Arabidopsis thaliana: one gene and its partners. The protein of the gene in region 1 interacts with the protein of each later gene in a pairwise test. Each region holds a gene or a part of one and is shown in the gene's direction. Other genes may lie near its edges.

Region 1 (6,775 bases):
AATTGAGAATGACTATTGGGGTTGACTAATGCATCTTTTGTGGCTCCAGACCAAGAGAGCGAAATAGTTACTGAAGGAAGTGCCGTTGTGCATAGTGAGCCATCTCAAGAGGGTAATGTTCCTCCTAAAGTTGATAGTGAAGCTGAGGTCTTGGATGAGAAAGTCAGTAAGCAGATTATAAAGGAAGGTCACGGTTCCAAACCATCCAAGTACTCTACATGCTTTTGTAAGTACCCTTTAGCTTTCTGTTGATTGGATGTTGATTTTTCGATTGCACTTGTTGGCCTATTGCTACTGTTTATTTGAATCTTTCTATCTGACCAATTTCATATTGGCCATAGTGCACTACAGGGCATGGACCAAAAACTCGCAGCACAAATTTGAGGATACATGGCATGAGCAGCAACCTATTGAATTGGTTCTTGGAAAAGGTATGTGGCTGTCGAATATGTACTCTACACCTCCATTTCGTTAGATGAATCGTCATTGGTAAATTTGATGAGTTAGCTTGTGTATTATATGAACCCAATGAGATGGATATTTGGGAGGAAAAAAGATTGAGTTTTGTATTTTTTTTGCTTCAATGCTGATTAGCCCATTTTAACGTCACTATACAATTTTTTTTATAAAAAAGATTGTGCACTAAGAGTGAAATGTTGTCTGTGAGACAGAGAAAAAAGAACTAGCCGGTTTAGCCATCGGTGTTGCTAGCATGAAGTCTGGTGAACGTGCGCTTGTGCATGTTGGCTGGGAATTAGCTTATGGGAAAGAAGGAAACTTTTCTTTTCCGAATGTTCCACCTATGGCAGACTTGTTATATGAGGTGGAAGTTATTGGGTTTGATGAAACAAAGGAGGTAAGTTATTTCCTATACCATCATCTTGTTTCCTTACCAAGACGACTCCACATCCAAGCTTTATCCCAACCTCCTTGCTTACCTCTCTGACTTAGATGATGTATTGAACAGGGAAAAGCTCGCAGTGATATGACTGTAGAGGAAAGGATTGGTGCAGCAGACAGAAGAAAAATGGATGGGAATTCTCTTTTTAAGGAGGAGAAACTGGAGGAAGCCATGCAACAGTATGAAATGGTTATGCATCTCTCTCTATCTCTATCTCTCTTTCCAACAATTACGGTCAAAGTTTAGGTTTTCAGGCATACTTAGTGAGTCTGCTCGAGGCTCTTGTGTCTTCTTTCGGCTTTTGATTAGTCATGGTTTTGCTGTTTCAGGCCATAGCATACATGGGGGACGATTTTATGTTTCAGCTGTATGGGAAGTACCAGGATATGGCTTTAGCAGTTAAAAACCCATGCCATCTTAACATAGCAGCTTGCCTCATCAAACTAAAACGATACGATGAAGCAATTGGTCACTGCAACATTGTAAGACTCATCAAACCATTCATTTGAAGAAAATCATTAAAGTTCATACTCGGTTTCTCGAAATCTAATCAAACTCAAAACCTTATCAGGTGTTGACAGAAGAAGAGAAAAACCCAAAAGCACTGTTCAGAAGAGGGAAAGCAAAGGCAGAGCTAGGACAGATGGACTCAGCACGTGATGATTTCCGAAAGGCACAAAAGTATGCTCCTGACGACAAGGCGATTAGAAGAGAGCTACGAGCACTTGCAGAGCAAGAGAAAGCCTTGTACCAAAAGCAGAAAGAAATGTACAAAGGAATATTCAAAGGGAAAGATGAAGGTGGTGCTAAGTCAAAGAGCCTTTTTTGGTTGATAGTGTTATGGCAATGGTTTGTTTCCCTTTTCTCCCGTATCTTTCGACGCCACAGAGTTAAAGCAGATTAATGTATGAAGAAGGGTAACAATTCAACTCTAAAAGACCAACGTGAAAGATCTACCCCCATTTCTTATTAGTGAGAATTTTGAAAAATATTTTATATAAGAAAAAAAAATAGTCTCTATTGTTTTCGATTATAAAGTAACTTTATATTTTGATCCAAAAAAATAAATTTTTAACAAAAAACATACAAAATTCGAACGTAAAATCTACTTCCTTCAACAGAAATGGCGGTCTTCATAGTTTTTGTCTTTGACCAAAGACTTTCAAATTCCAGCTGCTAGTTGCATTAAATGATCTTAGTATTATTAATTAATTAAGAAACTTCTCAACAATTAACAAACACTAATCAGTAATCATCATTCTCTTTAGTTGAAAAAAATAGTCAACGTTTGATTAAGTCAACCTTTTTCGTCTTTGAATCCATCTTCTTCCCCACAGAGCAACGACGAAACAAAAAAAACAGAGACCCTTCCTCTGGGGAATCTAAGGAAGCTTCAAAATGAAGCTAAAGATTTCTCTAATCGCTCCGATTCTTCTTCTCTTCTCATTCTTCTTCGCCGTGGAATCTAAGTGCAGGACTAGCTGTCCTTTAGCTCTAGCTTCGTACTATCTCGAGAACGGAACAACACTCTCCGTCATCAACCAAAACCTCAATTCTTCAATCGCGCCTTACGATCAAATCAATTTCGATCCAATCCTCAGGTACAACAGTAACATTAAAGACAAAGATAGAATCCAGATGGGCTCTAGGGTTCTTGTACCTTTCCCTTGCGAATGTCAACCTGGTGATTTCCTAGGGCACAATTTCAGCTACAGTGTTCGACAGGAAGATACTTACGAAAGAGTCGCGATTAGTAATTACGCGAATCTCACGACGATGGAGTCGTTACAGGCGAGGAATCCTTTTCCGGCGACTAACATACCTCTCTCTGCGACGCTTAATGTATTGGTGAATTGTTCTTGTGGTGATGAGAGTGTTTCGAAAGATTTTGGTTTGTTTGTTACGTATCCGCTTCGTCCTGAAGACAGTCTCAGTTCTATTGCGAGATCTTCCGGTGTATCGGCGGATATTCTGCAGAGATATAATCCCGGTGTTAATTTTAACTCCGGGAATGGAATCGTTTATGTGCCTGGAAGAGGTACAAAGATTGATCTTTGATGATTTGTGACACAAATTGTTATAAATGTAGTAATGATTGTTGAAGTTTATGTACATGTTCCTGTGTTTTTTGCAGATCCAAATGGTGCATTTCCACCATTCAAATCAAGGTTGTTTTTGTTGTTGTTAAGATTGTATCTTTGTTCATTTTGATATCTATTTACTGATGTATTTCTACTTCTCTTATGTTTTTTGTAGTAAACAAGGTTGGTTCTTTTCTCCATTTTTGAGCTTTTGATGATTATGCACGAAGCAAGAGGAGACATGGAAGAGTATGTTTTTGATATTTTTTTGTATTAGCAGATGGTGTTGGTGCTGGAGTTATTGCTGGTATAGTTATAGGAGTGATTGTGGCTTTGTTGTTGATCTTGTTTATCGTATATTATGCTTACCGGAAGAATAAGTCGAAGGGTGATTCGTTTTCTTCTTCTATTCCGTTGTCTACTAAGGCTGATCATGGTAATTTCGTGATGATCATATACAAGCAGTTTTTGTCTCTTTTGTTAGCTGGGAGTTGCTTATTATGTTTATATGAAATCTGCTTTTAGCTTCTTCTACTAGTCTCCAAAGTGGAGGTTTGGGTGGTGCCGGAGTGTCTCCTGGCATTGCTGCCATAAGCGTGGACAAATCTGTTGAGTTTTCGTTGGAGGAACTAGCAAAGGCTACTGATAATTTCAATTTGTCTTTTAAGATTGGGCAAGGTGGTTTTGGGGCTGTTTACTATGCAGAGCTGAGAGGAGAAGTAAGCAGATATCTTTTTATATCTTTTTGTTTGAAGCTACTACACATGGAACATTTAAATTATTCGGTTCTTGTATAGAAAGCTGCGATTAAGAAGATGGACATGGAGGCATCGAAACAGTTCTTGGCGGAACTAAAAGTCTTAACGCGTGTACATCATGTCAACCTGGTAAACCCCTTTTGTGTTCTCTCAAGATAATATCTGAGATCAGATGAAGATCAAGTCTTAGCCAAATTTTAACGAATTTGTTTTTTCTTGCAGGTTCGCCTGATTGGATATTGTGTTGAGGGATCACTTTTCTTGGTGTATGAATATGTTGAGAATGGTAACCTTGGACAACATTTACATGGGTCAGGTACGCAATATAAAGACCTCCAAAAGTGAATCATTTTTCGAGAAAGTTGTAAACTAAAAGAGTTTATGTGAAACTAGGACGAGAACCATTACCGTGGACTAAGAGAGTGCAGATTGCACTAGACTCAGCTAGAGGTTTAGAATATATCCACGAGCACACGGTTCCAGTTTATGTCCATAGGGACATTAAATCTGCCAATATTTTGATAGACCAGAAATTCCGAGCAAAGGTACATTCTCGATTTCTCTTTTGTCAATCAAAAGTGAAAAATACTGAAAAGGTTAGATTTTTCCTTTGTCACCGCTCTGAGTCGTTTACGTGTTACAGGTAGCAGATTTCGGGTTAACAAAACTGACAGAAGTTGGAGGTTCAGCAACTCGGGGTGCAATGGGTACATTTGGTTACATGGCACCAGAGTAAAGAATTTGATCTCGTTTACACTTATATACTACTTTAGAGACTACACTATAGTGATGGTGTATATATGTATGTATGCAGGACTGTTTATGGAGAAGTGTCTGCAAAAGTAGATGTATATGCATTTGGAGTTGTCCTTTACGAATTGATTTCTGCGAAAGGTGCGGTTGTCAAAATGACAGAAGCCGTTGGTGAATTTAGAGGCCTTGTTGGTGTGGTTAGTATTATTGTTTCTTCGTAACATTTAGTCTTTCTGATTTAAAGGCATGTATGTGGATCACTTAACAATATGCTTTGTTTATTTATTATTCAGTTCGAAGAATCATTCAAGGAAACCGACAAAGAAGAAGCACTACGCAAGATTATAGACCCGAGGCTCGGTGATAGTTACCCGTTTGATTCGGTATACAAGGTAATATCTCTTCTTGTTCCCTATTCTATTCATCATTGATCATTCTAAAAGAGGGTGTCCAATCCGTTTTTTGGTCCGAAAAACCGATTAAAAGTGCGATTTTTAAAAACCGGTATTCACTGAACAATGTGCTATTCGATTAGCTTAAAGTGTCGAAAAATCAAACCGAATACCGGATTGCACATAGCTAATTTTAATAACGGGGTAAGCCAATTTGGTGTTTTATGTGTTGTGGTATAGATGGCGGAATTAGGGAAAGCATGTACACAAGAGAATGCGCAGCTACGTCCGAGTATGAGATACATTGTGGTTGCTTTATCCACTCTCTTTTCGTCTACCGGAAATTGGGATGTTGGAAACTTCCAAAACGAAGATTTAGTCAGTCTTATGTCCGGCCGGTAGACTCGTTTTCCGGTTTGCTGTTGTTATATAGAAATGATTGTTTTTTGGTATGCTCACGTATATTTTGTCTGTCTATACGAACTTTACATGTCACAACTCACAAGTTGACTTTTATATGATTTTCTATAACGCTCTATATGTCAATTATTCAACGTCTCCGATATCAGCATCTCACGTCAAAGATAATAATGAAATGCATTAAAATTCTCATAAATAAATTTTTTGAAATCGAGTTTGCCGACAAAAAAATCAAAACATAAAAATATAACTTTTTGTGATGGATACTCTCACGAAGCTTAGAACAAGTCTTCCATAACACCAAAGAAATTCGAATGATTTTGTCACATGGATTCCCCAATACATAAAATCTATATTCCAGCTTAGAACACTAAGTATGTTTCTTATTTCACCTAGCTAGATTTTCTTTATTAGAAATAGAGTAATCGAATATTCTTTTACCATAAACCAATATATTTCATTTTTTGTTTTTTTCTTCTGTCAACAACATACAGATACGGCTACATATATCTATGATTTTTTTTCGTTTGTCCATTATTTGTAACGGAATAATTATTTAAAACACACAAAAAGTTACCTTAAACTGACTAATATTAAATCAAAACTTTTTCATTCCAAAAGTCAGATCTCAAACCTTTTTTTTTAACATAATGTGTCCTCTAAACTTTCAAATCAGGGAATAAATAAATACATTAGAAAACGTTAAACCAATATAAAATACAGCCGTTATAATATGAACATAAATAACATGCTAATACGGCGAGACCTATAAGGCTAATAAACCATTATTGCTTCTCTAAAGAAACTGAAAAGGAACCCAGTAACGGACGATGTCCTAAACAACAAAACATTCAATTAAAATACAAATTCCTTAATTAACACTATTACTTTATTTAACACAAATTAATCTCTTTTGCCAGGTGTCCTTCACCGTTTAATCCTCGGTTCGCTAAATTAGTTAATTAATTAATTAAATGGACTTGTAACACCCAAAACGTATGAATCAGCAGAAATCTCACTTCAGTTGAATCTTTGGATCAATTTCCAAAATAAACCCAAACACACAAATTAAAAATCTCATTTTTATGAATGTTTCTGCTTCTTCTTTTGATCCCTAATACTTTCTTCTTCTTCTTCTTCCTCTCCTTCATTCTCTGCTCAACGTTGTTTGACTTCACAGATAGAAACAACAAGACGAGTTTCATCGCTGAGCTCTTGAGAAAGGTAAAAACTTAAACTTTATCTCTATCTTTCACATTCATGTGAAGAATCACTCATTTGTAGAGTTGATTCAGTGTTTAATGGATTTGACGGAATCTGAAAAGACTATGACTAGGATCCAAAAATTCCGATTTCTGGGTGAAACGAGAAATTTATGGAGAAAAACTAGCTAAAAATATTGGCAATTTGGAAGTCCTTGGATTGCAAGGAACCCTAATTTTTTTCGTTTGTTTCAGGAACATTGTGTGT
Region 2 (5,846 bases), on another chromosome or scaffold:
CCATTACATCCCACCGTCACTCTAGACCTCACTGCTCCACAACACTCTTCCTCGTCTTCTTCTTCATTGCTTTCTTTAAATTTCAACAAATTCTCGAACTCTTTCCAAAGATTCCCATCTACAAGCCTAAATTTCTCTTCTACTTCATCAACATCATCAAACCCGTCTACTCTCAACCTACCCGCGATTTGGGGTAATGGGTATTCTTCTTATACTCCATATCCTTACAACAACGTCCAATTTGGGACGTCCAACCTAGGAAAAACAGTCCAAAATAGCCAGTCCTTAACCGAAACCCTAACAAAAGCGCTTACTTCCGACCCAAGTTTCCACTCGGTGATCGCTGCTGCCATCTCAACTATGGTCGGATCAAATGGAGAACAACAGATTGTCGGTCCACGGCATTCGATTAGCAATAACATTCAACAAACCAACACGACGAATAATAACAAAGGATGTGGAGGCTATTTTAGCAGCTTATTGATGTCTAACATTATGGCGAGTAATCAAACGGGTGCTTCTTTGGATCAACCATCGTCGCAACTTCCTCCCTTCTCTATGTTCAAGAATTCTTCTTCTTCGTCTTCTACGACTAATTTCGTGAACAAGGAAGAGAAAAGCTAGTCATTGTTCTTGTTTTTTGTTTTTTGGGTGATTTTTTATTAGGTGTTTTAATTAGTCTTGTATCAAGATATGTTGATTCTTGTTCGTCCGTTTCTCAAAAGTGTTTATTTTTTCTTCTTAGTTAGGAGACTATGGAACCAAATTCAAATAAACCAAACCAAATGTACAATTTTTTTATGTTCTTGTGTGGCAAATATTATGTTCTAATTTGATTTAGATTGAGATGATACAATAATTTAATCTATCTACTAGATTAATCAATAATCACAACGTTTTTTTATTTAAGTAGAAAATAATAAAACAAGAGTCAACAATACAATTTGGTTTCAAGAAAATTACAATTTGAAAGGGAAAAAAAAATAGAGAGAGAATATTATATCATATGTATATATATTTAGACAAAAAAGTGAAAATAAATGGGCGTGGGCCTAAAGTGTCGGAGCAACTTTCGAATTAAAAGTGTACTGTAGGATGAAATGGATCTGATATGCTGATTCAGCCTTATTGGGGCTAAACAAATGGGCGTGGGCCTAAACATATGGGCGTTAGTGAGAAATCTTTGATATTCACCGAAAGGATACTTACAAGTGATCACCGAAAAGAGATGCAAAGAGAAATGGGAAAACATAAAGAAATACTTCAAGAAAGTCAAGAAAGTTGTAAACAACAACAACAAGACGACGAATAATCTGTAATGATGATGATTCGAGTTCGAACCGGTTTGGTGGTGAATGATTAGTAATCTTTTCAAAACCGGTTTGGTTTCTGATTTTGGTTTGATTTGTTCTGTTCAGATCCGACCGGACCGGTTTGCTACTAAGGTATGCAAATAAATTATTTAGAGAAAATTAATCTATTTAAAGTTTCCTCCATTTAACTAAATAAGAATAGCTTATTGGTTACATAGATTTTATTTTATTTAAGAGTTTCATCATTTATAAGACGAACACATTTTATCTGTTTCTTACTATAATTCAAAAAAGAATAGAATGACAATATTCTTGACCAAAAAATAAAGAAGGAAAATGTGAATATTGTTCTATCATTAGTTTATTCGTCCATGAATTATTTATCTATTCATTTCAAATTTACTATTCATCTAATTAAAGAAATTAGATGGACTTATATTTGATCAAATTCTTTTGAGGTTTCGTCATACACATTTCGGTTTAATCAATCTAAAGATTCTTGTGAATCAAAAAAGATTAGTGCCGCCTTGGATGTATTCATCATATAAATGATTCAATCAAAGGTCTCTCTTTCTCTCTTATGACATGAGTTAATGATGAATCTATTTTCTATCTTTAGATAAGCCATAATTAATTCAGTCCTAGAATCAAGCATGTAAGCAATAGAAAGAATCAAGCATATAAGTAAACTATCACTCTTATCGCTAAACAAAACGGTATAAAAATATATCGTTTGCGATTTGTTAAATACGTCAATAAATTTGAATATTCCATAGTTATAAAGATTTCAATATCTCAATTATAGTCCATTATTAGTTGTAAGATAAAAAAATGGTGTGTTCTTACCAAAAATAAAAAGATAAAAATGGTGTGTTTAAGTTTATCTATTAGAGTTTGGTGATTCATGCAACTTTAGCTGTAAAGATTTTGGGATAAGAAGAAAATTATAAATGGTAAACACAATCCGGTGATATCTCCTAAATTCTCTATGAATCACAAATTCGTCAAAAACTTCCTATTTTGTCTAATTTTATCCAGTAACATTCAACCTATAAATTCTCAACAAGAAATTCATTTGACTCATAATTACTTGTGATTCTTATTTGTCTTCTTCAATATGGCGAGAAGTTCTGTTTTGCTATGTTTAATTCTATTGGTTACGTTAGGAGTTGTGATAAGTGTCACATTTGCCGACAACGTTGAATTGAAATCAAAAGATCTAGAGAGCAGTAAGAAAGATAAGAAGGTTGATCATGATAGTACACACAAAGAGAAGGGAGGTGAAAAGGTAGATGGTGCCGGTTCTGATGATGAAGACAACGATAAAAAAGAAAAAAAGAAAGAGCATGATGTGCAAAAAAAGGATAAACAACATGAAAACAAAGACAAGGATGACGAGAAGAAGCATGTTGATAAGAAGAAGAGCGGTGGTCATGATAAAGATGATGATGATGAAAAGAAGCACAAGGATAAAAAGAAGGATGGACACAATGATGATGATGATAGTGATGATGATACGGATGATGACGATGACGATGATGATGATGATGATGATGATGATGAAGTTGATGGAGATGATAATGAGAAGGAGAAAATTGGGTTATACGAGCTCAAGAAGGGAAATCTAACTGTCAAATTCACAAATTGGGGTGCTTCAATCATATCTCTCCATTTCCCAGACAAAAATGGTTAGTGAACAATCATATTGATTGTTGGCAAAAATACAACTCATACTATATATATCGTATAGACATATAACGAAATTGTATTATTAATGGTTAATACTGATTTTCAGGTAAAATGGACGATATTGTTCTTGGCTATGATAGCGTCAAAACCTACAAGGTATGTAGAAAATTCTTTTTACCGTGTGTGTTATATTTTTAATTTGTACTTTTGAATTATTGCTATGTTTTTGTTATACTAAACTAATAAATTAGTTTTTTTTATCACTATTTAGACCGACAAGGTTTATTTCGGAGCAACCGTTGGCCGAGTAGCAAATAGAATAGGAAAGGGCAAATTCAAGTTGAATGGTAAAGAGTACAAGACAAGTGTCAACGATGGAAAAAACACACTCCATGGTAAATTAATTATGATTGCCATAACATAATTAGATCAATTAGTTATGATTTATGCGAATATATGTAATTGATTTAGATTTTTGTTAAATTAGGTGGCAAGAAAGGGTTTGGGGATGTTGTGTGGGCAGTTGCAAAACACCAGTACGATGGCAAGAAACCACACATTGTCTTCACTCACACAAGTCCTGACGGCGATCAAGGTTCCCTTTCTTTCACTACTTTTTTATTCTACCCAAAACTTTTGAAATGTACTATGATCTAAGGAAGAATCTAACGATTACTAGTCCTCTTTTTTTATATATCAATAGGGTTTCCGGGAGAACTCAGTGTCACGGTGACATATAAACTTGTCAAAGACAATGAATTGAGTGTGGTGATGGAGGCAAAGCCTAAGGATAAAGCAACTCCGGTGAACTTAGCTCATCATAGTTATTGGAATCTTGGTGGTCATAATTCCGGAGATATTTTGTCTGAAGAAATTCAAATCCTCGGCTCGGGTTATACCCCCGTCGACGGTGAGCTCATTCCCACCGGGAAAATCAATCCGGTGAAAGGAACAGCATACGATTTTCTCCAACTCCGTCCTATTAAAGATAATATGAAGGATCTTAAAACAGGGTGAGTGGTAGCACATATATATACTTTGCTAAAATATCAGTTTTAGTATGAACAGTAACCTATATGATTGTTTCATTTTTTATCTTGCAGATATGATATAAATTATTGCTTAGATGGTAAGGCAAAAAAGATGAGAAAAATAGTTGAACTCGTAGATAAGAAATCAGGGAGGAAAATGGAGTTATCCGGAAACCAAGCGGGTTTGCAATTCTATACCGGAGGGATGTTAAAGGATGTCAAAGGGAAGAATGGGGCAGTTTACCAAGCTTTCGGGGGATTATGTTTAGAAACACAAAGTTATCCAGACGCATTGAACCATCCCAAATTTCCTTCACAGATTGTCGAGCCAGGGAAAAAATACAAACACACTATGCTCTTCAAGTTTTCTATTGTTTCATAGATTGTTTTAGATGTTGTTACATGAACACCCTTGGAACCATGTCCAATGTTCATGAACAAGAAACTAAATACATTGTAATATTTTGTAACAATGCTTAAATTATCAAATTATATGAACCTAACGTGAATATTCGATCTGTACGTAATTTATGCATAACTCATAAGTATGCACTATTTTTCTGTAACCATATAACAGTATATGATTATATAGAGGAAAAATTAAGTGCCCTATGAATTTGATTCAAGATCCGAAACCAGTTTGTGTTGCATATAACTCCACTGAAGACGTACCTTAAGGGTTTGATATTTGTATAATTGTATCTAAGAGTAAGAGCCCTACCAACAAGAGTCAAGGTCGACGTACCAATCTCTATATAAGGTGCTCACACCAAGTGTTTTCAAGAATCCTGACGTCCTTTTTTACAAAAATGCAAAGCATCTTCGGATTTTTTTTCGGTATAATACAAAGCATATTTTCGAATAGTTTACTCATTGGTTCATCAAACAAATACCTTTCGGGCATATGTTGAGATGGTGTCGCTCGTGGACATAGACTTTCTCGGCTCTGCTTTTGTTAATTATTTCAGTAAATCCAAATGTGATTAAAATAAAATACTAAAAATAACTAAAATCCTGAAGCTATTTGGGAGTTAGATCTTTTGAACGAACTCGAAGTAATTTAGAAGAATGAGTTTTTTTGCACCAACTGTAACGGTCTAAAAGAGATACTTCGTATGTAATCTGTCGCTTAAGAATAGTTCATCGTCCATCAATTTTTACATTTAAAAGAAAACTTATGTATTCAGTTAGACAATATTCTTATTATAAGGCACAAGCAAAGGTATTTATCAATGTCCTCTACAACAACTTACGCAAAAAAAAAATCCGCACATCCTCTCATTATATTTTTCTTTAGAGAATTACTATTAGTTAATATTATTTCAAACTATGTGGGTAATCTGGGGATGTTTGAATTGTTCAAAAGTTTGGTCATAAAAATGTGGGAATGAAGAAATATTATTACTTTTTTCGGATTTTTAAGATCAAATTAATTTATTTAATGCGATTATATATGGCGGGTCAATCTATTCGACGTATTCGTTATGACGGTGTTTGTTAAATCAAATGTAGAAAAGTAGAAAACAGAACATTTTAGGAGTTGACCTATCCATTATCCATCAACTTAAACATGTGCACTTCACCAAAATTCTTATACAACCATATAAAATATACGAGAGACCCAAGATCTCACATGCCATTATCTATTTATCTAGCTATATATTCCATAAACTACGTATGTAAGTACGCACACGTATTGAGTGATGTCCGAATAGATTAGTGGAGTTGACATTTAGTTTTGCGATCTGACCATAAATTTTAGGTTTTACAGTAACTTTCTTTCACCCTATACAACAATTCGTTTCACTTTACT
Region 3 (5,020 bases), about 13 Mb from region 1:
TCTCAGTATCATGAGAATCATGATATCCTTTACTGGCATCAACCAAGTACTGTCCCTGAATGTATGTTGTTGAGTCTCCAAACTCTCAACTTGTCGGCATATAGAGGAACACCAGAAGAGAGAGATCTTGCAGTGTATTTCTTGAAGAACGCTGTTCACTTGAAGACCACAACAATCAAGTCATGTGTTTTTGATGATGAAAGATTTGACATGTTAAAGGAGTTGGCACTTTCTTCTAGAGCTTCAACAACATGCCAACTCGTGTTTGATTGAGAGTATTTGATCACCAAAACAAAGCTTGTTCTTCAGTTCTTCCATGTCCCCGGGCTCGTATGGTTTGTCTTCAACCTGAAAATTTGTTTTCGTCAACCATCTTTTTCTATGTTTTCCGTTTTTTTTGTATGTGATAAAAACTTTATTCTATATGTTGTCCACCAAAAAACAAATTATGTTGATTGGAGAAGTTATATGATAAGTTTTAATCGTTTATGGGGTTTTATAGGTGTGTAGAGATATATACATACCTTGTGAATGAAGAAAAGAGAACTAGCTCTGTGTTGAAAAACTGAAAAGCATTTGATGCCCTGATAATTTCTCTAAAATTATTAAACCGAAATACTAATACGATCCAAGTGGAACCAACCAATTTCTTAATATCTAAAATACCGGAATCTAAAGAGTCGAACCAAACCGAACCGGAATGTCCTCTAATTTTTATTTTTAAACCCATGATTATGACATGCACTACCGGCTTAGTGGTGATGTTTGGCAACATGGTTTATTCAATTCTCACTCGCACTGAGTGTCTGTGGCTCATAAATCATTTACCTTTTCAATTTCTCAATTCCAAATCTAAAAGTCGTCAAAAATGGCTCTCCGATCTGTCAAAACGCCGACCTTGATAACTTCGGTCGCCGTCGTCTCCTCCTCCGTTACCAACAAGCCTCACTCTATCAGATTCTCTCTTAAACCAACGTCGGCACTCGTCGTCCATAACCATCAGCTATCGTTCTACGGTTCGAATCTCAAGCTGAAACCAACTAAATTCCGATGCTCAGCGTCGGCTCTTACGCCGCAACTTAAAGACACGCTGGAGAAACTGGTGAATTCGGAGAAAGTGGTTCTGTTTATGAAAGGAACGAGAGACTTCCCGATGTGTGGATTCTCCAACACTGTGGTTCAGATTTTGAAGAATCTGAATGTTCCTTTCGAAGATGTGAATATTCTGGAGAATGAGATGTTGAGGCAAGGACTTAAAGAGTATTCGAATTGGCCGACGTTTCCTCAGCTTTATATCGGCGGTGAGTTTTTCGGTGGTTGTGATATTACTCTTGAGGCGTTTAAGACTGGAGAATTGCAGGAAGAGGTGGAGAAAGCTATGTGCTCTTGATCCTGATTTCAATACTTGGTTTTTGTGATGATGGAATTTGATCTTATCTATCTATCTATCACCTGGGAAAAAAAATGTGATTTTGATGTTTCAGAGTTTGTGGTTGTAACATTAAGAGACATATATTGTATGATGGATTTAGGTATACAACAGTTGGAGTTGCTTGGAATTTGAGTTTCCTTTGTCATATGTGTTGGCCTGCAAATTTGTGTTGTTTGTTGAAAGGTTTATGTGTGAAGTAGTGCTAGTAGAATCTAAGTTTGTTTCTGACTAAGAGACATGAAGTCATGGGTTGTTATGCTCATTCATATCCTGATTGAGATACAATTTAAAGAAACTTAGTTCCAAAGATTCTGAACATTCACCGGTACAGTGTGTCTGCAAATGGTATTCTGTCTCACTTCAATGTCTAAACACGTTGTCTCAAAATGTATCGTTTGTTAGATACTCCTTTCAAGACATATGATTTAGCCTCGCATGTGTTCGTTGATCCAAGTTTTACCGGTTTGATAAGTCTCCAGTCTTAGCAATAAATCCAGACCGGATTCATGACCAATCGCAGATTTACCGGTCCGGGTCAAGTTTTAAAACATTAGTAGAAATGTGTTTCACCGAACAGGAAGACTTATCTGATAGCATCTCGTTGCAGTGGATAAATGGCAAAATAGTAATATACGTAGATTCTGCTTTTATCTGAACCACATAGTGCAGATGGATATCGAACAGAAGAACATGATATCGAGAAGACACGTGGCCCAATGAAAAAGCCACGCAGGCTCTGTATAGCCAATTGCAATCTGGTTTTAGATTCTCATCTCACAAATCTTACTTATACGATCAGTCTCCCACATTCACACTTCCACCAAACACCTCTCGTCCACATCTTTCTCCTTTGGTGGCAAACACAACGACAGATAGAGAGAAACGATGGCGTCGAACTCGCTTATGAGCTGTGGCATAGCCGCCGTGTACCCTTCGCTTCTCTCTTCTTCCAAGTCTAAATTCGTATCCGCCGGAGTTCCACTCCCAAACGCCGGGAATGTTGGTCGTATCAGAATGGCTGCTCACTGGATGCCTGGCGAGCCACGACCAGCTTACCTTGACGGTTCTGCTCCTGGGTACGCTTCGAACCCTTTTACTCTGTTTTGTTGCTCAGTTTGGAATCAGAATTGTTTGTTAGATTACTCTGTTTTGATGACATGATGCAACATTGTACGTTTTGTGAAAGATTCAATTTTTTTTATGTTATTGGGTATTCATATTTCAGAAAGTTGTCTCCTTTCAGAATTTGAATTCCCTTTAGTTGTGTATTCAGAGATTCTAGATAGATTACTGGAACCTCTTTTGATGACTTAAGGGTTCTGATTTCAACATTGGAGGTTGTTTAGAAAGTTTCAGTTTTTCTAAGTTATTGGGTACAACATTGTGCAGTGACTTTGGGTTTGACCCACTTGGACTTGGAGAAGTTCCAGCGAACCTTGAGAGATACAAAGAGTCAGAGCTCATCCACTGTAGATGGGCTATGCTCGCTGTTGTAAGTTTCAATATCCAATCTTTGTCTTATCATAAGGGTTTAGTCTTGTTAAGTTTAATCTAATGGACTTGGTGGGTGGTGTTGTAGCCTGGGATTTTGGTACCAGAAGCATTAGGATATGGAAACTGGGTTAAGGCTCAGGAATGGGCAGCACTACCAGGGGGTCAAGCCACTTACTTGGGAAACCCAGTCCCGTGGGGTACTTTGCCCACAATCTTGGCCATTGAGTTCTTAGCCATTGCATTTGTTGAGCACCAGAGAAGTATGGAGAAAGACCCTGAGAAGAAGAAGTACCCGGGAGGCGCATTTGACCCTCTTGGATACTCGAAGGACCCCAAGAAGCTCGAGGAATTGAAAGTTAAAGAGATCAAGAACGGTAAGCACACACAACAACTTACCTTTCTTGATCAAACTTATGTACAAATGTATATCTAATGTTGGTGTTTTTTGCTTGGTGGGTGTAACAGGGCGGCTTGCGCTGTTGGCGTTTGTAGGATTCTGTGTGCAACAGTCGGCTTACCCGGGGACAGGACCATTGGAGAACTTGGCAACTCACTTGGCGGATCCATGGCACAACAACATTGGCGATATTGTTATCCCTTTCAACTAATGAATGTAAAAATAGAAATATGTGTACCTTATGAGCTTTATGTGTATCAAAAACACTGTGTAATGAAAGACAGATTTGTGAATTCCTGTAATTTGTCTTGGTGATCGAATGCTCGTGTGAGCTTGAATTCTAAGTGATGAACCTTTTGAACCCAAATACACATTACATCTCATGCTTCCTACAGAAGAAACATTGTAAGCTCATGACTATTTGTTAGATTTCTCAACAATCACATTCACATACTATAAACTCCATAACAGAAGAAACATTGTTAGCTCATGATTATTTGTTAGAGTTCTCAACTCTATCCAAATATGCTTTTTGTTTATATCAACTTAGATAAATGGTTATTGAACCACACCAAGATACATGCATTTTACATTTGAGTTTTGATGAATATTTTCTATTCATCTTTTTTCCCCCTCATTTTTACCTTCTACATTTTTTCATATTGAACAAAAACAATCCTGTTAATTTTCTTCCCTCTCTTTTCTAGTAAAATCATTTAAGGATTTTTTTTGAAATTAGTTGATGTCTTTCTTATCACATTTGTTCTATACTTCTACTAATTTTTCTTTTGTTCTTTTGCATACTAATCTTCACCTACAAAATAGAGTACTCTCTAAACAGAGTCTTGGAAAGTTTTGTCTTCCTTTTATATTCTCAACTATAAAGTTTAAATGAGACATAGTTCTAGAAAATAACATCTTTGACATTCAATGGTTCCCTTAATTATATATTGAGCTAGAATTTGAAGAAAAATCAATACCACATTAATGTTTACAGATTTTAATTCATATATGGCTTAGTATTCTATTATTATATGATTTTCTCAATTTAATTCATTAAAATCAAGTAATCAGAATTTCAAATAATTTATTTTATATTTCAAAAAACTTAAAGAAAACTTTAGATTTGACATGTGACAAAATTTTCACCATTCTCTTCCAATATAATAAAGAATGGAGCTATCTTCCTAATCATATCCACGTAAGATTGAGATAGAAACTTGAGCTGCGTGGGGCATGCTTAATTTTTTCTGTCTCATTGACCCAAAGATATATCTGTATTCTAGTGGATACATACATTATTTACTCATTACCAACTACAAGTAAACTCCTTTAATTAATTTTTAAATTCTATATTTGGCTCATAAATTATTCCTTTTTAAAATTTATTTTTAGTTGATTTTTCATTGCCTACTCAAGATCTAAAATTTTCCTTTACATATAAAACCTAAAAGAAAACATATAATGCAGTTTCAATCCCTCTACCAAATTTTCTGTTGATACTTTCCTCATTAAGGTAATCATTCCTCTATCCTCTACTTTTCTTATGTAGCAAACTTTCTCTTTCTATCATGAATTTTGGTTTCTCCTTAGAATCTTTTTGGATCTTGAATGCTTCTGATCTGTTTTATTTGGATCTTTAAAAATATATTCTTCACCGGAAATGCCATTGTTTTAATCTCAATACATTTCTTAAG
Region 4 (4,367 bases), on another chromosome or scaffold:
ACTTCCCCCACCACTTCTCTCAGTTCTCTTCTTCTTTTTATTGTCCCATTCCAAATTTTAACCAACACATCAAGCAAACTTCATTAATTTATGTTCAGTGTTGTAGTTGCAAACGTTATTTATTATTTTACGTTTACAAGTTTAGAACTAGTTCGAATCGTGATAATCTTGAATAAATCATAACTTTGTTCATCTAATCATAAGAACATAGAACTTTGACATGGTGTCTCCGGATCTTGTTGACTTAGTTCTATCTTAAAGTTAAGCTACACATATTATAGGGACCCCATATTATAGTACCCAAACAAACAATTAGAGAGTTTGTATGCAAATCCATAATATTTACCGTAGAATTGTATGGGTTTAATGAGGAAAGAAAAAGAAAAGAAAAAGAAAAGAAGAGAAGGACACTGAAGGAGAATGTGATGCTGCTGAATAAAAGATACAATCAAAAAATTGACAGGCAGTACAATAATGATAAGTAGTGTCATGACAGCTGACGACTCTACTGCCCAATCTTGACGTTATTTATTTTTGTCCATTTTTTCTTAAGATATTATTTCAACTTAAAAGAAGTAGAAAATAAACCATAAGTGCATAACAATATTCCTTTTATAAATTGGGTTCAAGATATTGATTCGATTCTGTTTATTTCAAGTGTCGTGGAACTCAATTTTATGTTATGCCTGCCTCGGCAACAAAGATTTTCGTTCAAGTGGCTCTATGAAAATAAGTTAGGGCAAACTAGATCGATTGATGTAAACACAAATAGAGCTAAATAGTGGAGATAGTAAACTGGTGATTTTGTTTCGTAAATAGTCAAAAGGAGGGGGTGACAAAAAATAGATTTGTCCCTTACCTCTAAGAGATATAGAGCAAAACGTTTGCATAGCGCTGTACCATTTCCTTCTATATTTTATATATGTGGATGTGCATGGATCTAGCTGATGACATAACACGGCAAAATCATTTAACATTTGATTAGCATTGGCATCAATATTTGACGACGCTCCTCATTATTTATATATGTGGATGTGCTGATGTGCATGAATCTAGCTGATGACATAACCTAGTATATGTGCATGGTTTTATGGTGTGAACAAGTTTTTTTTTTTTCTTTTCTTGGTTTTAGGTGTGAACTTTAAGTTAGAGATGATCTTCAAATCTCACGAACCACAAACCTCCTTGCACGTTAAGAATAGCCTCTCTTTTTTTCTTTTGTTGCTTCTAGTCTCAGAGTGTCTTCGAGATATGTGTAGTCTTTAGTGTACCCTGAGACCTGAGTACAAGATCGAAAAGAAAATATCTCGAATAACAGAGTTGTGTTTGCTGTTTTTACCATTTAATTATGCTAATATCTTTGTTTTACATAATACCAATTGAAAAATGAATACATAATTCAAGTTTGGACCATTCTTGTATATCCACTTTTGGCTTCGTGGCCCCGATAGCTAATTTGATTGACCTTATCATCTACACCAAACAAGAAATTAAATTGTCAAATTAATTTAGTGGTGGCCCTATACTATAAAATCGTAAACACTTCTTTTTGAAACTAAATATAAACCTTACGACACATTTATGTGCAAATTAGTGGACATATTCCTCAGTAATAACGTTTTTACAAACCTACAGTTGGATAAATTATTGAGTCACTCCATGATTAAACCAACAACATAAGAGAAAAATAAAATAGTACACTACGAATGATCTTTTAAATATGTTATTCTTTTTTGATACAGAAACTTTAACTACCAAAAAAAAAAAGCGAATGATTCATAAAAACGCAATGTGGTATGTTTGGTCTGTTTTTTAGTTCGAATCTCAACTTCTTGTTACCACAAAAATAAAACATTACACAATGTAAATTTACTGTTCAGTCTTGCTTTTCCAATCACTACATTAGCACATATTCTTCACATGTATTTTCCACTAATCTCGCGACAAAATGTTCACAGTGTTTCTCAGTTTCTCTCTCTCAATATTTTCTTGTCAAACAACATGCATATTTGAACCCGCATGGTGAAATAGCATCGGCATTAACATGATCAACCACAAAATAAACCGGGGTGGTGTCATAGCATCGACATTAACTTAAAACTACAAAATAGAGCTGGGTCCTCGTCAGGTTTTAAGGATACATATGTATGCATGTATGCATATACAAAATAATAGAGCACTAAAGCTTGTTCGTACTCTTTTTTACACAACATGCTAATAATTTTTATACCTTAGGAGTGAAATTTTAGTGGTCCAACAACTTAAGCACCTAAGATCCTTCCCCACTTTTGTTTGGGGCTCCTTTATATCTCTTCCAATGGTTACTTTTACTTCCTCTTCTTCTCTTCTTGTTCCATCTTTCATGTGAGAGAGAGAGTTGAATTTTGCAGATGAGTATGAGAAGAAGCAAAGCGGAAGGGAAGAGGAGCTTACGAGAACTGAGTGAGGAAGAGGAAGAAGAAGAAGAAACTGAAGATGAAGATACTTTTGAAGAAGAAGAGGCTTTGGAGAAGAAGCAGAAAGGTAAAGCTACAAGTAGTAGTGGAGTTTGTCAGGTCGAGAGTTGTACCGCGGATATGAGCAAAGCCAAACAGTACCACAAACGACACAAAGTCTGCCAGTTTCATGCCAAAGCTCCTCATGTTCGGATCTCTGGTCTTCACCAACGTTTCTGCCAACAATGCAGCAGGTAAATTTTTGTCATCTTTTTTCAAAACTCCTGCAACAATAACCATAAACAAGAACAAGAAATATGAGACCTTTTACCTTTTGTTTTTAAGGTTTCACGCGCTCAGTGAGTTTGATGAAGCCAAGCGGAGTTGCAGGAGACGCTTAGCTGGACACAACGAGAGAAGGCGGAAAAGCACAACTGACTAAAGACGGTGAAACGTGTGAGATCCCGGTTTGAAGGTTAATGAAACAGGCTTTGCTTACTCTCTTCTGTCAGTCTCTTTTAGCTCCTTGTAATCCTCTGTGTCTCTGTCTGTTTCTCCATATTACCTGTAATCAAAGCTATCTGCTAAACCTACGACATGGTTAAATAAATGCATTGAGACTTAGTAAATGCTTGAAGAAATTATGTGTAATAACTCTTTAAACTTGTCAAATGTTATTTCAAGCCAAGATCTTAAACTACACCAGGGATCTGTATTTGTTTTGCAATCAACAAATGAGGAGACAGCTAAATAGCTATCAAAAATAATAATCTGGGAGACACTTTTGATTCGTGATATATGTAGTTCTGTTACATGAAAGCTCATCAAAATCTGAAGCAAATGCAAGCTCCTTGTGGTTTAAAGATCTGTAAATCGAACCAAATAAATTAGATTGGAAGACTAATCCTAGTCACGTTTGATTCCCAACATTTTCATTGAGAACTCCCAAGCAACAATTGCTGCTGCATTAGCAGGGAATGCTCTCACAATGGTTGGACCCAAACCTGCATAGCATCCCTTGAGTCCTGCCCTCTTGTGAATCTGCAGAGATGATTTAAAGTCAAAAACAATATTTCATATACTCTTTTGTATCGGTAATTAGATTCATAGAGGGAAGATGGCTGACTGACCGAGCTCAACACTTTAAAAGGATTTCTCTCTGTAGCTTTCTCTGAAGAGGTCTGGATTATGGTTTTTGCTACATCAAAAGGCAAAACAGCTGACCAGCACTGCATCATAGAAGCAGAAGTAATATTCATATAAAATAGCAACATTTTTTATGATGGAATTTATGAAACACACTATATAGATTCCTACAGCTATGCCTCCAAGACCACCAGTGAGAACTCCTATCCCCATGTCAACCAAGTAACCATCTTTCAGCTTAGAATCCTCCAATCTCGAGTGGATATGATACCGTAAGTACTCATAGACAGTAAAAAAGACAGCATTTCCCGTACATTCTCTTAATAAGGTTGCCGAACCACCACGAAAGATACCTGTTACCTGAAAGATATCCCCATCAACCTGATATTCGATTCTTAAGTAGAATATTTTAGCAACGAGAGTTTCTCACCCCATCATTTTTAACGGTCTGAACGGCACAATCAAGAGGACTGTTGTATCTACGGAAGTTAGGAACCAGAGAATCCGTTCCTTGGATCTGCATTCTACACTGAACAAAACAGTGAATGTCCCAAAACTCCATGGAAACCATCAAAGGTGATAATTGCGGGGAAAGAAATGGTGTTCTGGAGATTTCACCTTTACTAGCTCTGTTGGACATAACACAAAACTAATGATAGCTCCACCAAACATAGCAGACGGAACAATTATCTCTGGTCGTGGCCCATCATCTGGCAAAGTTCCCTTTACAATAAAACAAGAAAGAAGCGAAATTTGAAATCTGGAGGAAAATACAGTGAAAGATCA

What was found.
Region 2: the proteins of CERK1 (region 1) and AT5G15140 interact in a two-hybrid assay, tested with the Arabidopsis thaliana proteins (one study listed by BioGRID).
Region 3: the proteins of CERK1 (region 1) and LHCA1 interact in a two-hybrid assay, tested with the Arabidopsis thaliana proteins (one study listed by BioGRID).
Region 4: the proteins of CERK1 (region 1) and SPL3 interact in a two-hybrid assay, tested with the Arabidopsis thaliana proteins (one study listed by BioGRID).

Annotation. Positions count from the first base shown.
Region 1 is NC_003074.8:7,614,055-7,620,829, reverse strand, and holds CERK1 (chitin elicitor receptor kinase 1), read left to right. Parts: upstream 1-2,158; 5' UTR 2,159-2,299; coding exon 2,300-2,939; intron 2,940-3,035; coding exon 3,036-3,069; intron 3,070-3,157; coding exon 3,158-3,165; intron 3,166-3,262; coding exon 3,263-3,418; intron 3,419-3,507; coding exon 3,508-3,701; intron 3,702-3,779; coding exon 3,780-3,869; intron 3,870-3,962; coding exon 3,963-4,056; intron 4,057-4,133; coding exon 4,134-4,285; intron 4,286-4,383; coding exon 4,384-4,472; intron 4,473-4,554; coding exon 4,555-4,690; intron 4,691-4,786; coding exon 4,787-4,885; intron 4,886-5,125; coding exon 5,126-5,287; 3' UTR 5,288-5,473; downstream 5,474-6,775. Other genes in the region: TWD1 (FKBP-type peptidyl-prolyl cis-trans isomerase family protein), read left to right, coding at 50-226, 342-431, 672-856, 968-1,090, 1,231-1,383, 1,473-1,805.
Region 2 is NC_003076.8:4,906,256-4,912,101, forward strand, and holds AT5G15140 (Galactose mutarotase-like superfamily protein), read left to right. Parts: upstream 1-2,395; 5' UTR 2,396-2,430; coding exon 2,431-3,001; intron 3,002-3,108; coding exon 3,109-3,158; intron 3,159-3,273; coding exon 3,274-3,397; intron 3,398-3,489; coding exon 3,490-3,597; intron 3,598-3,705; coding exon 3,706-4,015; intron 4,016-4,105; coding exon 4,106-4,415; 3' UTR 4,416-4,665; downstream 4,666-5,846. Other genes in the region: WRKY72 (WRKY DNA-binding protein 72), read left to right, coding at 1-624.
Region 3 is NC_003074.8:20,338,220-20,343,239, reverse strand, and holds LHCA1 (chlorophyll a-b binding protein 6), read left to right. Parts: upstream 1-2,063; 5' UTR 2,064-2,317; coding exon 2,318-2,508; intron 2,509-2,821; coding exon 2,822-2,924; intron 2,925-3,011; coding exon 3,012-3,300; coding exon of another isoform or gene 3,301-3,359; exon of another isoform or gene 3,360-3,391; coding exon 3,392-3,534; 3' UTR 3,535-3,736; downstream 3,737-5,020. Other genes in the region: AT3G54910 (RNI-like superfamily protein), read left to right, coding at 7-273; CXIP1 (CAX interacting protein 1), read left to right, coding at 869-1,390. UniProt on the Arabidopsis thaliana protein: The light-harvesting complex (LHC) functions as a light receptor, it captures and delivers excitation energy to photosystems with which it is closely associated.
Region 4 is NC_003071.7:14,302,952-14,307,318, forward strand, and holds SPL3 (squamosa promoter binding protein-like 3), read left to right. Parts: upstream 1-2,049; 5' UTR 2,050-2,390; coding exon 2,391-2,689; intron 2,690-2,766; exon of another isoform or gene 2,767-2,780; coding exon 2,781-2,877; 3' UTR 2,878-3,121; downstream 3,122-4,367. Other genes in the region: MBAC1 (Mitochondrial substrate carrier family protein), read right to left, coding at 3,342-3,476, 3,566-3,664, 3,753-3,941, 4,012-4,110, 4,200-4,304. UniProt on the Arabidopsis thaliana protein: Trans-acting factor that binds specifically to the consensus nucleotide sequence 5'-TNCGTACAA-3' of AP1 promoter. Binds specifically to the 5'-GTAC-3' core sequence. Promotes both vegetative phase change and flowering.